Nothobranchius furzeri: one gene and its partners. The protein of the gene in region 4 interacts with the protein of the main gene of each other region in a pairwise test. Links are inferred from orthologs where the notes say so. Each region holds a gene or a part of one and is shown on either strand. Other genes may lie near its edges. The genes, in order: ptprsa, txlna, receptor-type tyrosine-protein phosphatase F and ppfia1.

Region 1 (3,566 bases), on a different chromosome or scaffold from region 4:
GTCACTCAAACATTTACGCAGAGTTTGTAGAGAAGATATTACTTTATACTCACTTCACATCCTTGGTGCTGACTGGTGGAAAGGACATGGTAAGAATGTTTTCAGGCTCAGCGTAGATGTCCAGTTTTGGTTTCTTGACCAGGATATGTGGTGCAGTCCTGGCCACCACACGGTGTCGAGGGCCACCATCCATACTTTCTTGGCAAGTCACCCTAAACTCGTACGTGGTGTTGGGCCTAAGTCCTGTGATAAACATCTTCAACTGCCTGGCGTCCACATCCATCTTTTGACGATTGTACTCAATCTAAAGTAGTGGATGGTTGATCGGCAAATTGTTCAGAATTAAATCACTTTGACAAAACTGAATAACGCAGCTAAAATATGATATCAATGCAAGATGTATTATTTAACAAAATATGCTTTTACACTCCAGCTAAAATCAATTTAATCAATCATTTTCATTATATAGCTAGACTTTCAGAAAGCAATAAATTAAAGTAAGATTTCACTCACCGTGCATTTGTATGGAGATCTGCTTTCAGAAAATTTCCATGCAAGGACTACCGTGGTCTTGGTGACCCACTTAACAGTGAAATTCTTAGGAACATCTGTTAAAAGACAAATGCAAAACAAGGAAAAAATGTGCATCTTAAGTGAAAAAAAGCAGAAAAATAAGAGAAAATCACGAAAACTTTGGTTTTAAAAAAATCAAAGCTGTTCTTTCCCTGCAACGTTCCTCTGAGTTGAAGAGTGAAAGGAAAAGTGAACAGTGATTGGCTGTGAGAAGGGCAATGTCATTAGTTTAGACACAGAGAACACGAGACTCAAGGACAACAAACCCATGGAGCACAAGTTATATGCTCTTTGGCTAGCCATCATTAGTAGTGCAAACCCATCTCACCCACCGACTTTGAACCATGACTACCAGGTGATTAACAGTTAACCCTTGTAGACCCAATGCCAACTGTTGGGACAATGATACAGAGTTTGAGTTGGCACTGCCAATGTGCTGCCACACAAACATTGAGACAGACCCAAAACACTGCATGCCAACAGTTCTGAGCAGTGCATCTGTGGGATGCCATGCCACAAGCTGTCCTGATCAGGGACAGGGAAGAGGGAAAGGAGGCTTCGAGAGGAAGCGTGTTAGGAAGGAAAGGATATTTTAAACCCAAAATAAAATTAAAGTCAAAATAAAAAAAAAATCCTTATTCCTAAAATATTCCAAATGTACTGTTCTAAAGACTGGGATTGACTCCTACCTTGTGTGAAAACTGGGACGTGAAATGGCAAATCTGTGTAGATGTGCTTGAAAAAGGCTGCAAGGACTGACTGGAGGGTCTGACCAAAAAAGTCACTTACCTTTAATTCTATGCTGCTCTCCCCTCTCTCAAAATGACTGACTATAACTTACTGACTTTCATTTTACCTGGTTTGGGTTAGTGAAGCAAGTATTCCATGGCAAGCAATTTAAACATCAATCAATCCTCCATTTGAGGAGAAGTGGAGGTGGTTGAAGAAGTGGGTGAGGACAGTTTTCATTTTTGTGTCGTTGCAGACTGCTTTTAGTCAATTTCCAACCCCTTGGCACTGGGTTGGTAGAGAAACAAGTAAGCCCTACCTGCAGGATCAATGGCCACCGTCCGATACTGGATAGGTGGGCTGTAGGGCCCTGGACCTATACTGGTGTGGGCACGTATTTTCACATCATATGCAGAGTTCGGTTTGAGACTGTTGAGCACAAAGCTGGAAAGGTTGGGTGGTAATCGGAGTTCCAGTGGTGATCCTCCTGCTCCGGCTTCTTTGTAGGCCAAAGTGTACTCTGTGATGACCCCATTCCTCTCTGCCAGCACTGGTGGAGACCAGGAAAGCTGCACTGAGCAGCATGTTATGTTGGAGCCCTCGTTCATTTGAGGGTATCCCCCTGGACTATTCTCAGGAATAGTGAGCTCTGCCACAGCCTCCTCCCCAAAGCCCCCTCTGCTTTTGGCTGAGATCTTAAAGAGATAAGTGGCGCCGCGGTGAATGTTGCCCACAGAATACTGACGCTCTTGGGGAGCAAATTCCAGGGTGGCTAAAGGGGACACATCTTTTCGTCCAAACTGTAGCCTGTATCCCTGCAGGTCCATTCCATTGGTCAGATCTGGAGGATCCCAGTGAACAGTGGCAGATGATTTTGAGTTCTGAACCACTGACAAATAGGGTGGACCAGGTACTAGACAGAAAAAGAGAAGAAAACAAATGTTTACTCGAGTGTACTACATTGTACTATATTGTATGTTGAATGTGAGCTAAACATATCTCAATTACAATGTTTATATCATGGTTGGACATTTTCCAAAGTCAAAAAGAAAAGAAAAGCAGTAAAGTTAGCATGTTTAATCAGACATGTTTACTAGAGCTGCAACAACGAATCGATAAAATTTGATAAAGAAATGTGTTGGCTAAGCTTTGTCATCGATTTGTTGTGTTGCGCAAATTGTTTTGTGTTGTGCAACTTTTGTGTGTGTTGTGCAACATTTAACAGTCGATGCGAGCAGCTCATCTGATGCGGCAGCAGAGCAGACTGAGGCAGATCACAACGAAACACACATATGTCACACGTGTAATTATAGTGTAAGGAAGATGCCTTTTACTGGCACACACTGTGCTAATCTAGGTGCTGTGGAGGAAAACAGAGAAACCAGCAAAGACATGGAGGCAGAAACCATCCAAAGTTTGGGATCAAAGGTGTAACTACAAGCAGATTAGCTAATGCTAGCAGGTAGCAGGCTCGTGATCAAGTGAGTTCCGAAAAAACACGATAGTTGTGAAACTAAGAACATCTAAACTCTGCAAGCTGAAGAAAAGTCCCAATCATCATCCTGTTCATTAGCTGTCTGCAGCGCTACGGAGCAGAACCGCTGCAGTCAGGTTACTGCTGAAGGAAAATGGCAAGCCACTGTAGCATTTAATTCACAAACGCGTCTATCTGTGAACATAATTAAAACTGGATTATTGTTAACCCGTACATAATAGATAAGTCACCATTACATTTTAAATAGTAGAAATTAAATATTAGCATTTCCAGTAGCTTACTACTGAACATGTTAATGAAATACACTAATATTTAGTGATCATAGTTTATTTATGGATATATTAAGGTGATAGCATGTTGTTTAGCAAGCTATTGAACAGTTTTCTAATCATGTTGTGTTGTTAAAGTGAAGGAAGGAGAGAAAAAATGTTTCCCTAACAATTTTTAAACTTTCTCGTTTAATCCAATTAATCAAGTGGAGTCCCCATCCGATTCATCAATGATCCAAAAAATGGTTTGATGCAGCCCTAATGTTTACATTGTGGTCCGACATGCTTGATTGTAACCAATGAGAATTCAAGATTCTCAGTGACTGGCATAAATATTACAAGTTTACAGAAACTAAAGCCATAGAAGCAGTTTATATGAAAGCAGTTTGTATTTAACAGAGACACTGAAGAGCCCATCAATTGTAGAGTGATCACTGTGTCCATTACCATTTCATGTGACATGCAAACAGCTGCCAAAATTATTTCCATATTGCAGAGCA
Region 2 (4,319 bases), on a different chromosome or scaffold from region 4:
TTACCGGCATCCTCCCCCACCATCTGAGCCAACTCACCACCAGGTAGTGGTCAGTAGACAGCTCGGCCCCTCTCTTCACCCGAGTCAGATGAAACAACAACAAAGTCGATCATCGAGCTGCGGCCTAAGGTATCCTGTGCCAAGAGCACATATGGACACCTTTATGTCTGAACATGGTGTTCATTATGGACAATCCACAGAAGTCTAATAACAAAACACCACTCGAATTCAGATCAGGGGGGCTGTTCCTCCCAACCACACCTCTCCAGGTCTCACTGTCGTTGCCCACATGAGCGTTAAAGTCCCCCAGCAGAACGAGGGAGTCACCGGAAGGAGCACTCTCCAGCACCCCCTCCAAGGTCTCCAAAAAGGGTGGGTAGTCTAAACTGTAGTTTGGTGCATAAGCACAGACCACAGTCAGAACCCGTCCCCCCACACGTAGGCGGAGGGAGGCTACCCTCTCAGTCACCGGGGTAAACCCCAACGTACAGGCACCAAGATGGGGGCAACTAGTATGCCCACCCCTGCTCGGCGCCTCTCAGTGGGAGCAACTCCAGAGTGGTAGAGTGCCCAGCCCCTCTCAAGGAAACTGGTTCCAGAGCCAGAGCCATACGTTGAGGTGAGTCAGACTATAGCTAGTCGGAATCTCTCAACCTCACACACCAACTCAGGCTCCTTCCCCACCAGAGGTGACATTCCTTGTGCCAAGAGCCAGCTTCTGTAGCCGGGGATCAGACCGCCAAGGTCCCAGCCCTCGTCTGCCACCCGTCACACACTGCACCTGACCCCTTTGGCCCCTCCCACGAGTGGTGAGCCCATGGGAAGGGGAACCCACGTTTCCTCATCGGGCTGTGCCCGGCCGGGCTCCATGGGTGAAAACCCGGCCAGCAGGCGCTCGCCTACGTGGCCCACCTCTAGGCTTGGCTCCAGAGGGGGGCCCCAGTGACCCACGTCCGGGCGAGGGAACACGGTTTCCATTTATTTTATTCATCATAAGAGGTCTTTGGGCTGCTCTTTGTCCGATCCCTCACCTAGGACCTGTTTGCCATGGGTAACCCTACCAGAGGCATAAAGCCTCATTTAGCTCCTAGGATCATTGGGACACTCAAACCCCTCCACCACGGTAAGGTGGCAGCCCAGGGAGGAAGAGGGAACTACATTTATAAAATTTCAGTAGTTAGTACAAACACTTGCTGTAATTTTTTCTAAATAAAATGCATTTTTGTTAGTAGGTGAACTTGCTGTTTACTATTATTAAACCTTAAATTTTATATTAGCATAGGCCACATGTAAACCATAGTCTTACTAATTTACAAGACAGCTGTTCTGCAATGACAATAAATGTTTAATTGGTTTTTACCAGTTTTATCACTTTCTTGCTAGTATTTTTTTTTACATAGCAGAAAGAAGTTGGTGGCGGTAATGCACCATATCACCATTTGAAACCACCATTGAAAAGTCAAAGAAGAAGAATCAAAGTTATGACCGGAAGTTGTTTTTTTTTTCTAAGCCAGTCAGCTACACGCTGTTCAAGAAACCTGCAGCTCAGAAAAATTAGCCGTTTCCTCCTGGAGTCTTCAGGTAAACAAGTCTGTGTTAACCGTAGAGTCAGGGGAATGAGGTAACGTTTCGCGTCGCCATAGCTTTAGTAGTTTTCTGTTTTTTCTTTTATGGTACAAAGTAACACCGGTTGGGTGAAAGTAGTTCAAGACAATTTTAGCTGCGTGCGTAACTGCTAACGAGGGCTAGCCTGTGCCAGCTAATGTAATCTGGAAGCTAATGGAAACTGAAAATGGTCCGAAGTGAAAGTACACATTTGTTTTCCGTTTTGTACATAAACGCCATGTCTATGTATCCAGAAACGTGCTAATATTTTCGATTTTATGCGTGATTTTAAAGAACTTTATCGTCTGAACAGTTGGTGTATTTTATTGTCAAAGCCTTATTTAGACTCAGCGTTAGTTTCGTCTTTTATTCAAAGAGCTAAACATGAAAAATCAAGACACGGAAGAGTCTACCAGCCCGGGCAGCGAGGCTCCTCCACCTGCAGCTGGAGACACGGACGCTCCACTTCCACCTGCACCTGCTGAAGGCAGCAGCCCCAGAGAGATGGAGCCACAGGCTGGCCCTCCACCACAGGAACAGCAGGGGGAAAGCGGAGGTGAACTGCCTTTGGTTTGACTTTCTTACTCGTCCGTCACACTGTGTGAATTCTCAGTTTTAGAACAAATTAGATGAAACAGCACAAACCTAATTAATGGTTTGGTTGTCATCAGACTGAAGTGGAGAATCTTGTCAGTAATACCTGATGTCATCTGGTTTCAAGATTAACATACTAGAAGTCAAACTTTTATTGATGCAATCAAAGCTTTACTTGTACAATAAAATGGTCTTCATTCTTCACGTGTACTCAATCCATACATATCTAGATTATGTCATTTTTATTGTTATATGTCCTGATGCTGCCGACAAGTTATTTTATGCACTGATGTCATTAAACACAATCACACAGTTTAATAAACAAGAGTTTTTAAGGTTAAGAGATCCATAATAAATTAGTTTTGGGGTATTTTCTCATTACTGTAACGTTGTGTCAAGAACAAACTTACTTCAACATTTAAATAAAAGTAGGCCATCACGTCCTTGATGATATTGTGATAATTGTTTTAATGCCTCAAGTGCGATTCCTTTTAGAAGGCACATCATAAACAAATGAATCCCAACAGTTTTCCGCGTGACTGTGTGGGACACATACCATACCATACCATATTTATTTATTTATAAAGCACCATTTCAAAATAGCATGGCAGCTAACCAAAGTGCTGTACATAAAAAAAGCCAAATGCTTGACCAAGAACCACAATAAGAACAGGCAAAAAACATAAGAACAAAGCATAAATAGTCGGAGATAAAAATTCCTACTAAAAACCATAAAATAGAACAGTTAACAGCACTATAAAAATAAAATAATGCGACGAATAATAAAAACATTTGAAATGTCCCAAATAAACCGAAATAAAATACCAGATGGTGCGAGGTGCCAAAAGTGAGCAACTAAATCATAAAAATGGAATTAAAAACTCAAATCCGGTGCTAGATTGTCATGAAAAGTGTCACGGAGGCAAGGCAATGCTAAAGAAGTGCGTTTTCAGGGCCGACTTGAAACTGCTAACAGAGGGAGCCAGACGCACACGGAGGGGCAGGGAGTTCCAGAGTTTTGGGCTGAATAAGAGAAGGCACGCTCCCCCCGTGATTTGTACCAAACCTTCGGAACAACAAGCAGCAGATGATCTGCTGACCGAAGGGCACGGGTGGGAACATATGGGGTCAGCAGGTCCATCAGATAGGATGGGGATGGGCAGTACAAAGCCTTGTAAACATATAACAGGACCTTGAAGTTAATCCTAAATTAGACTGGGAGCCAGTGTAAATCTGCGAGGATGGGTGTGATGTGCATGCGTCTGTCGGTGTTGGTTAAAAATCTGGCCGCGGCATTTTGAACCTTCTGCAGTTTGCTTAAGGCTGAAGCATTAATCCCAATCAGGACAGAATTTGCGTAATCCAGACGTGAAGTAATGAAAGCATGAATGACTGACTCAAGATGCGGGCGTTTGAGGATTGACTTAAGACGAGTGATGCGGCGGAGTTGGAAAAAGCAGGACTTGACAGTAGCGTTGACTTGTGAAGACATTGAAAGGTCAGAGTCCAGTGTCACACCTAGGCTAGTGGCACCTGATTTGAGATTGAGTGGGAGAGTTGAGACATCTAAAGCACCATTCATGTTAGTGGGGCTAAAAAGTATGGCATCTGATTTGCTGTCATTTAACCGTAGGCAGTTTTGAGAAAGCCAGGATCTGACCTGGGAGAGGCATTCTGACATTATAGAAAATGAGTGCTGTTGGTTGATTTGAAGGTAGATCTGGCAATCATCTGCATAAAAGTGGTAGTTAACCCCGACGAGACTTGCTAAAATCTTACCAAGTGCTAGTATGTAAATTGAAAAGAGGAGAGGACCCAGGATGGAGCCCTGTGGTACTCCCCATGGAAGTGGGACATTGGGAGAAGAGCAGTCTCTAACATGAACACTAAAACACCGACCATTAAGGTACGACTTAAACCATTCCAGGGCAGTACCGGTCACACCCACCCAAAATTGGAGTCTGTGAAGTAGGATGCTGCGGTCAGGTCGAGTAAGAGTAACCGCACATGGGAGCCAGAGTCAGTCAGAATCAGGATGTCATTGAGTACCTGAATGTGTGCAGACTCTGTGCTGTAATTACGTCTAAAACCTGACTGGAATGGGTCAAGAAGCCCACTGT
Region 3 (4,006 bases), on a different chromosome or scaffold from region 4:
ATCCCTTTAAGGGCCACAATTTGGGCATACCTGGACTAATGTGCATCTGAGCTTTAATATTCCTTGATTCACCAAAATACAGAAGCAGCAGAGGAAAGAGGTTCTCCTAGAGCAGGGGTGAGGAACCCTGGTCCCCAAGGGCTGCTATCCTGCATGTTTTAGGTGTTTCCCTCCTGTTATGTGCTCTCCATGAACTTTTTGGGGTGCTGGGCTTCCACATTTTAGGGTTCTACAATGCTTTAAAATGTAGAAAATTCCCCCCTACCCCTATACACTAAATGTTGGATCTCCTTGTAAAATATACACCCAGCGGGGCTCTGAGATCCTTAGGAAACAGTCAGCTGGTAGAACCCCGGGTCAGAACCTAACAGCTGCTTTTATTCATGTATTCATCAGCCTTTGAATGAATGTTTCTTATGCTGCATCTTCTGCATTTTAACTTTGCCTTCGACTTAAATCTGAATTTCATTTGTGAATTTCCTTCTTTCATTCTTTGAAATATCTAAACTTTTTTGAAACTGTACTAAAATGGCTACCTTTAAGGTTGTAAAATGGTCAAAAATGCATATCATCTTTGTCATATTTCTCAATCAGTTACAATCGGAATAGAAGTTTAGTCCACAACCCTAAAGCGCTTTATCAGCTAAGGGGCCAACGCTGTAACTGAGCTGATATTTCCCAAATGTTTCTCACTAGCATTTTTCCAGCATGCACACCACAGTGCGCCTTGCTAATGATGTCACCAGCTAAGGGCCTTGGCTCTTTTTCCATGCATGGGCAGTGCTCCAAAAGCCCCAACAGAAACACCTTTATGGCGGAGGAACAAAAGAAGAAAAAATGTAGCAACGGACTGTGGGGCACTCTGTGATCCCTCATGAGTAACGGTCATGTTAGTCACGTGTTTTCCCTTGAATAACCTTTGGGTTTTGATTAAAGTAAATCTAAAACCTTGGGGAAGTTGTTACCATTCAGGAAACATGTCTAAATAATGGTGTTTTTAGAATATCGTTCACAACCTTCAAATAAGAATTAAGGTTATGTAAAAATATCCAACTGCTCCGCTGCGGCCGATCTAGTCAATGCTAATGCTTCAGCAGCATGACACCCATCAGAGCTGTCAACACAGGTTTAAATGATCAAATATATCCATCCATTAGATAACAGAATAACATTTAGCAATTTAGCTGTTTCATGTTCTGCTGCACAAATGAGTCCAACTCCATGAATCAACACGTGATGGATCCAACTAAAACTAAATCTACACGTAAATGCAGTCAAGAGGTTAGAATCTGCAGGCCAGTTTAATAGAAAATTACCCCAAATATAGAGCAAACATGCATCTTGTTACTGTCTATTCAGCTGCCAGGGTCTGAAGGTTATAGAGACCAAACATGCAGCATAGGCCTTGGGTTCTGTTTCAGAAAGCCTCTGATGCAATTCCAAGAAACTAACCCACCCTGCATCATCTTTAGTCTCTTCATTGTGTCTGTGGCAGCTTTAATTAAAAATGTGTGTATTGATAAACTGTGGCAATGGAGCTGCAGAAGTGTGTTGGAGCTGCAGAAGTGTGTTACCCTGGAAAACGGTTTCTAGTTTCCGGTTCCAAAAGAAATGAGGGCATAATGGTTGATGCGATGAGACCTCCTGTATAATTATAAGAAATACCACCTGGAAATGATGTCACTCAATATCTAAGATTAACTCATTTACATGTACACACACACACACACACACACACACACACACACATAAACACACATGTATATTTACATTTTTTAAACACAAATTTGCTGTGAGGTGCAGATTCTGCAAATGAAGCCTGCTGGGAGCCAGTGCTGCAACAGGGAACGGTTTAAAAGCATGACAGGTGCTTTTGCACTTGATGGAAACGCAAAAACTCAAATCTGTGCCTGAGGGCGCGTGCTTGCAGGGGTGCACGCGCGTGATGTGCACGCGCAAAATCTGCTGTCAAGTCATTATTATTATGATACATAATATACATATAGGAGCAGCAAATCACGCTGCAACAGGATATTAAAGAACAAAGTAAGGTCAGACCCCCCACAGAGGAGCCTGTGCACATTTATTTTTATTTCATTTAGCTTTTTTTGACAGATTTGTTGCTTGGTTGAAAATTGCATCCCTGCAAAGACTGCTGCGACGTCAAGCTGCCCACAGAGAGGTGCACGCGGGCAAGGGAACTCAGGTTCGAAGTGAATGACATTAATATTCTGCCTCGTTTTTAAATCACATGCACGCTCATTATGGAAAAATAATAAAAGCACTGCTCAATTCAAACGCTCAGTCAGTTGGAGCTGATATAAAAGTTGCTGCTGGCTGCAAGCCGGAATGAATAAAACAGCAAATATACACATTTAAATGAGGCTGTCTGACGTTCGCTCGGTATTTTGCCAAGACGGGAGCTCATTTGCGTTAATTAACCACTCCCGTTACACCTTTTCTATTCTAAAGCACGGACATGCTCGGGGAATTGCGTACAATTCTGATTGTTTTATATAGTCCGGTAACTTAACGGAACGGAATATCAAGTTCACATGCAGAGAAGATTACACACTTACTGAATCTCCTCTTTGTCACCGCCGTTGGCATTTCTCTCCTTCTCCAAACCACAAAATATTTAGTTCCGTTCTTCACTTTGAAGCAATCCCACTTCATGCAATTAACCAAAACGGAGGAGTTGGAACCAAACCCAGAAAAAAATGAATAAAGACAGAGGGGGAACGATAGGAGTCCACCTCCGGGGGAAGTAACACGAGGTCCCACCAGGGTCGTGGATACTGGATCTATTCGTGGCAGCTCCTCCGCGCCGCAAACGGGTTAACGTAAACCTCGCTCAAATGTTCAATGTCGGTGCCAACAAATCACGGGGAGAGGAGAAGTGGCGTTTATGTTCTTGAATGTGAAATACTCCTCTTTCGAAGTTAACTGGCGTGCAGAAGTCGGTCCACAGTCGCCCCGCACGCAGAAGGAGTTGTTCCGTCTCTCTCCTAGCAGTTACCGCGTCTCTCTGCCTCCGTGGTGGAAACGCTCACAGGTCGGTCAGCGGGATTTTCCGGATCCACTCGGCTACACTCGCCGCTGCCGTGTCTGTCCTCGAGTCCTCCTTAAAAACGCGCACCAAACTTAAACGACTACAAAACAGACACTTTAATTCTCCATTTGCTCAAAGCAGCATCTTAAATGAGACATAAGGTGAATTTGTGAGAAGATTATGACTCAGGACAGGGACGGATTAGCAAAACAATGGACCCATGGGCACAGACGTGGAAAAGCCCCCCGATCCCCTCTCTAATCCCACTAAAGTCCAAAAGACCCCAACAAATAAAGACATGTTATAAATGCAAACAAAGCAGATTCATTCTGGGCATTTGTTTATTTTTTAAAGCACATTATTGATTTTCTTCTATTCTGTTTATGTTTTGCTTGATTGAAATCCATTAGGTTTAGTTTATTTACATAATGCTAATTTGTATAAGAAAATAATCTTGTGAACTATGCAGTTTAAACCTCTTTTTGATGTCTGCTTGCTAATTTGGACTGTTTTGTGTTTATTTGTGAACCATTTAATATTCATTATGGTTTACCTGCATATTGTTTGGATTAAAATATTTTATTTCAAGTTTATTCAATTTTCATTTTCAACACAAATTAATTTGTGTAATGTTATATATGTAATAATTGTACATTGTAACATTTAGAAAGCAAAATGTATGAGTAAAATTACGACACCTGCATTGTTGACAATGAAAGTATTTGCTGCCTTAAAAGTTACTTCTGTCATTATTTTTTGTGACACTTAAATAATGATAATCAGATCACCAAATAAAGGTATTAGGCAAAAAAACAACTTGTTTTAAATTATTGTTTCACTTAGAGTAAAAGGCTATCCAAACCAATTTGGCTCCATATACATGAGCAATGAACCCCTAAACATAATAACTAGTTTATGTTTATGTATTTAGCAGGCACTATTGTCCAAAGTGAC
Region 4 (3,566 bases):
AACAGACTGAGCGGGGCTCGAACCTGCAACCTTCCGATTACGGGGCGAGCATTTAACTCCTGTGCCACCGTCGCCCACAACGTCGATGCTTTGTAGGCGGTTTCCATACTGCAGGCTGACAGAATAAAACCAACAGGGGATGGAAAATGTGATAATACTCTCTATAAAAGAATAATAGAAAGTCAGTAAAATGTCCTTCCTGACTCCAAATGAATTCAACTTCTTCAGGAGGTAAAGTCGTTGCTGGCACTTTCTGAGGATGTCCTCGGTGTTGGAAGCGAATTTCAGGAGTTGATCAAAGGTGGTCCCTAGATATTTATACTCTTCAACCAGCTCCACTGGCTGTCCATGAATGATAGTGGTGGCAGCGGTAACCTGCGCTCTCTGTTTGTTTGAGAAGGACACCACCATCTCCTTAGTTTTGGTCACATTCAGCTCCAGGCATGCAGTGTCACACCAATCCACAAACTCCTGCAGGACCTGCCCGTGATAAACAGTAGGGCCTGACAGAAGAGACAGGAGCACAGTGTCATCAGCGTATTTTACCATATAACTGTCAGGCTGGATGGATCTACAGTCATCTGTATAGAGAATGAAGAGTAGAGGAGACAACACACAGCCTTGTGGGGTGCCAGTGGAGGTGTAAAGAAGGTCTGAGAGAGGAACGGAGACATAGACATTCACTCATTCCAAGGCTGGAGTTGTCTTACCTCAAATGGAAATTTAAAAACTTTGACAAGCTTCAAATACTGTTTTGGCTCTTAGAGTTGCTAGCTTGAATTAGCGCTAAGCAAGTGTGTGTTCATGGACCAGAAAACTTGACTTGATTTTTTTTTTTTTTGGAACAGATTTTTGTGTTTCTGATTAGCCGATCACTGATATGTCTGCTAAACAGACATTTTTTTGTGCATTTTTAGTAAAATGTCAATGCATTTATTAGTACTCATATCTGTACTCAGTATCAGCAAGTACTCTACAGTAATTATTCATACTTGGGTAAATAATATTGCATCAGTGATCAGTTTATCTCTGCGATATTTAAACGAACCAGAAACTCCGACTTTGTGAGCAGAAGCCTCTGGTATTTTCCATATAGGGCCGTACTCATAGGAAGTAACGAGCACTTGTTGTTTATTTTGTGTTTTAGGAGTTTGCCGCCCTAACAAAGGAGGTGAACATGTGCCGGGAGCAGCTTCTGGAGAAAGAGGAGGAGATTGCGGAGCTGAAGGCAGAGAGGAACAACACCCGGGTGAGCTCAGTGAGGACGTACCTGGAAAATTCCTGCCTGCTTCCGTTTTGATTAGAGGTGGTGATCATAACACCGCCCAACACGTCGCATTCTGTGTTATAATCTCGATCGCTGTCAGAACCCGATGGTGTGGAAAGCTGCTGAGTCGGCGTAATACGGTCACTGCAGTCGGCAGATCTGACAGCAGACGCGTTCTCGCACACCCAGCTGCTGATGGAGGCTTGTGCTAGCCTCCAGAAGCAGCTGCTGGAGATGTTTTATCAATGATTCTAACTCGTGTGTGTGTGTGTGTGTGTGTGTGTGTGTGTGTGTGTGTGTGTGTGTGTGTGTGTGTGTGTGTGTGTGTGTACAGCTCTTGCTGGAACATCTGGAGTGCCTGGTGTCTCGCCACGAGCGTAGTCTGAGGATGACCGTGGTGAAGAGGCAGGCTCAGTCTCCAGCCGGCGTCTCCAGTGAAGTGGAAGTCCTCAAAGCTCTGAAGTCCCTTTTTGAACACCACAAAGCCCTCGACGAGAAGGTATTGTTTGTGACGAGTTTGTGCGGCACCAGAAAAGGTCTGTGTGATGTTCTGACGGGTGGTTTGTGTGTCGTCTACTGAAGGTGAGAGAGCGGCTTCGTGTTGCTTTGGAACGATGCAGCGCTCTGGAGGAACAGCTCACCATCTCACACAAGGAAGTAAGATGCAGGCAGTGATCGTCACCTTTAATCTGTTTTACTGTTTGTTTTATGAATGAAACTCTGGTCTGATTCTATCAAAACTTCATGATTTGCTTTGCTTTTTTACATTTAGTTTATGAAATGACAGCAAGTACTTTTTTCAACTAAACCGTTAAAGGCCTGACGGCGAGAAATGAACAGGAACAGTTAAAGAAAGCGTCTATTTATATGTTTCTATTTCTAAACCCAGTTAAAATGTATGTTTACAGTTTTTGACGTTAGATGCTGCCCCAGACACGTTGACTCAGAAATCCAAGTGTTTCAATCATTAGACATTTATTTACTTTGAAGCTATAAACTGTTTAGAAATGATGGAGTTTTAACAGCTTTTATTTCTTTATGATGACAAAAACAAAACTGAGAAACATTTTTACTAAATGACTCCTAGTTCACATCCGTGTAACATTCACATGTGTGCTCTGTTCGTCATAGCGGTCGTCAGAAGGCCCTGGTGAGTACACCCACCTCAGCAGGTAGCGCCACGTCTGAGGCGGACGTGATATGAAAGGGTGAGGCGGGAAGTTCAGAGCAGGTGTGACGCAGTGATTTAGATTCTGTGGGACTAGCTGACCAGGAGATTTAAAAATAAATAAATAAAGAAATAAAAAACAGCCAATAAGAGAAGAGAACTGCTGAATTAGACACAAATAAAGACACGAGGAGCACATATTTGTCAGATGGATCCAAACATGGAGTCAGACTGCCCAGAGGACGTCAGACGTTTGTCCTACATTCCCTCTGAGCTGCTCAGTCTGACTCTTCCTCTTGGAGTTTGTGTCTTGGATTCGGATAAGGACGTCGACGTGTTGGATAATAGCTCACGAAAGATCAGTCTTCCTGAACCTAAAACTGTTAAACGGCTCTTCAAAAAGCTTTCAGAACTTTTTCCAGACACGATTAGAAGAAATCCTCTTTAAAATATCTGCATGTTCCGACTCTGAGAAAGATTCAGGGCTCAAACCAAATGCTGATTTTTAGATCTCATAATCATGTTTGTTTTGGTAAATAACAAAACACTTTTCTCGTGTTTTCATAACCGGAAGTGAAACCTTGCTGTAAAGGGCTGTAGGCGAGGTGCACGTGTTGATGGCTCGGTGTGATGTTTGTGCGCAGCTGGCGTTCCTCAGGGAGCAGACCAGTCTGAAGCGAGGTCTGGCCGACGGAACCAGCGAGGTCAACCACAACTCTGAAAACACGCTCAGCACCAACGGCAAGGTGAGGAGGACTCGCTGTGTAGAGAACTTTATCAGCTCCTTTAATTAATCCCATACTGGGGGGGGGGGGGGGGGGGGGGGGGGGGGGGGTTATTGTTGTATGGAGCAGATGGGCGTGGAGATGTCTCAGACTTAAATCCCGAGTATTTATTATCACGCCCACTAGATGTTTTCTGTCTGCCACAAAACTCACAGCAGCATCAAAATGAGTTATGACAGACCATAATAGCGTAGCGGTGGGAGGGTTTTGTCCCCCCTCCCCTGTCGCTGTGTTGTTTACATTCAACTACAGACGTTCAGTATCGGCGATCTCAGGTCTCGCTGTGAAAACCCTGCATTTAGATCCCAGTGAAAAATGTGTTATCTTCCCCAAATTTAGTTATTTC

The links.
Region 1: the proteins of ppfia1 (region 4) and ptprsa interact in a two-hybrid assay, tested with the Homo sapiens proteins (2 studies listed by BioGRID). The link is inferred for Nothobranchius furzeri from reciprocal best matches to the Homo sapiens genes PPFIA1 and PTPRS.
Region 2: the proteins of ppfia1 (region 4) and txlna interact in binary tests that used the Homo sapiens proteins (3 or more experiments, as listed by UniProt). The link is inferred for Nothobranchius furzeri from reciprocal best matches to the Homo sapiens genes PPFIA1 and TXLNA.
Region 3: the proteins of ppfia1 (region 4) and receptor-type tyrosine-protein phosphatase F interact in a two-hybrid assay, tested with the Homo sapiens proteins (2 studies listed by BioGRID). The link is inferred for Nothobranchius furzeri from reciprocal best matches to the Homo sapiens genes PPFIA1 and PTPRF.

Annotation. Positions count from the first base shown.
Region 1 is NC_091748.1:63,780,085-63,783,650, forward strand, and holds part of ptprsa (receptor-type tyrosine-protein phosphatase S), read right to left. Parts: intron 2,216-3,566; coding exon 1,622-2,215; intron 609-1,621; coding exon 514-608; intron 305-513; coding exon 54-304; intron 1-53. UniProt on the Homo sapiens protein: Cell surface receptor that binds to glycosaminoglycans, including chondroitin sulfate proteoglycans and heparan sulfate proteoglycan.
Region 2 is NC_091751.1:3,230,683-3,235,001, forward strand, and holds the start of txlna (alpha-taxilin), read left to right. Parts: upstream 1-1,468; 5' UTR 1,469-1,481; coding exon 1,482-1,581; intron 1,582-1,981; coding exon 1,982-2,161; intron 2,162-4,319. UniProt on the Homo sapiens protein: May be involved in intracellular vesicle traffic and potentially in calcium-dependent exocytosis in neuroendocrine cells.
Region 3 is NC_091751.1:44,753,968-44,757,973, reverse strand, and holds the start of receptor-type tyrosine-protein phosphatase F, read right to left. Parts: upstream 2,803-4,006; 5' UTR 2,580-2,802; intron 1-2,579. UniProt on the Homo sapiens protein: Possible cell adhesion receptor. It possesses an intrinsic protein tyrosine phosphatase activity (PTPase) and dephosphorylates EPHA2 regulating its activity.
Region 4 is NC_091749.1:65,271,932-65,275,497, reverse strand, and holds part of ppfia1 (liprin-alpha-1), read left to right. Parts: intron 1-1,147; coding exon 1,148-1,249; intron 1,250-1,601; coding exon 1,602-1,766; intron 1,767-1,849; coding exon 1,850-1,924; intron 1,925-3,079; coding exon 3,080-3,181; intron 3,182-3,566. UniProt on the Homo sapiens protein: May regulate the disassembly of focal adhesions. May localize receptor-like tyrosine phosphatases type 2A at specific sites on the plasma membrane, possibly regulating their interaction with the extracellular environment and their association with substrates.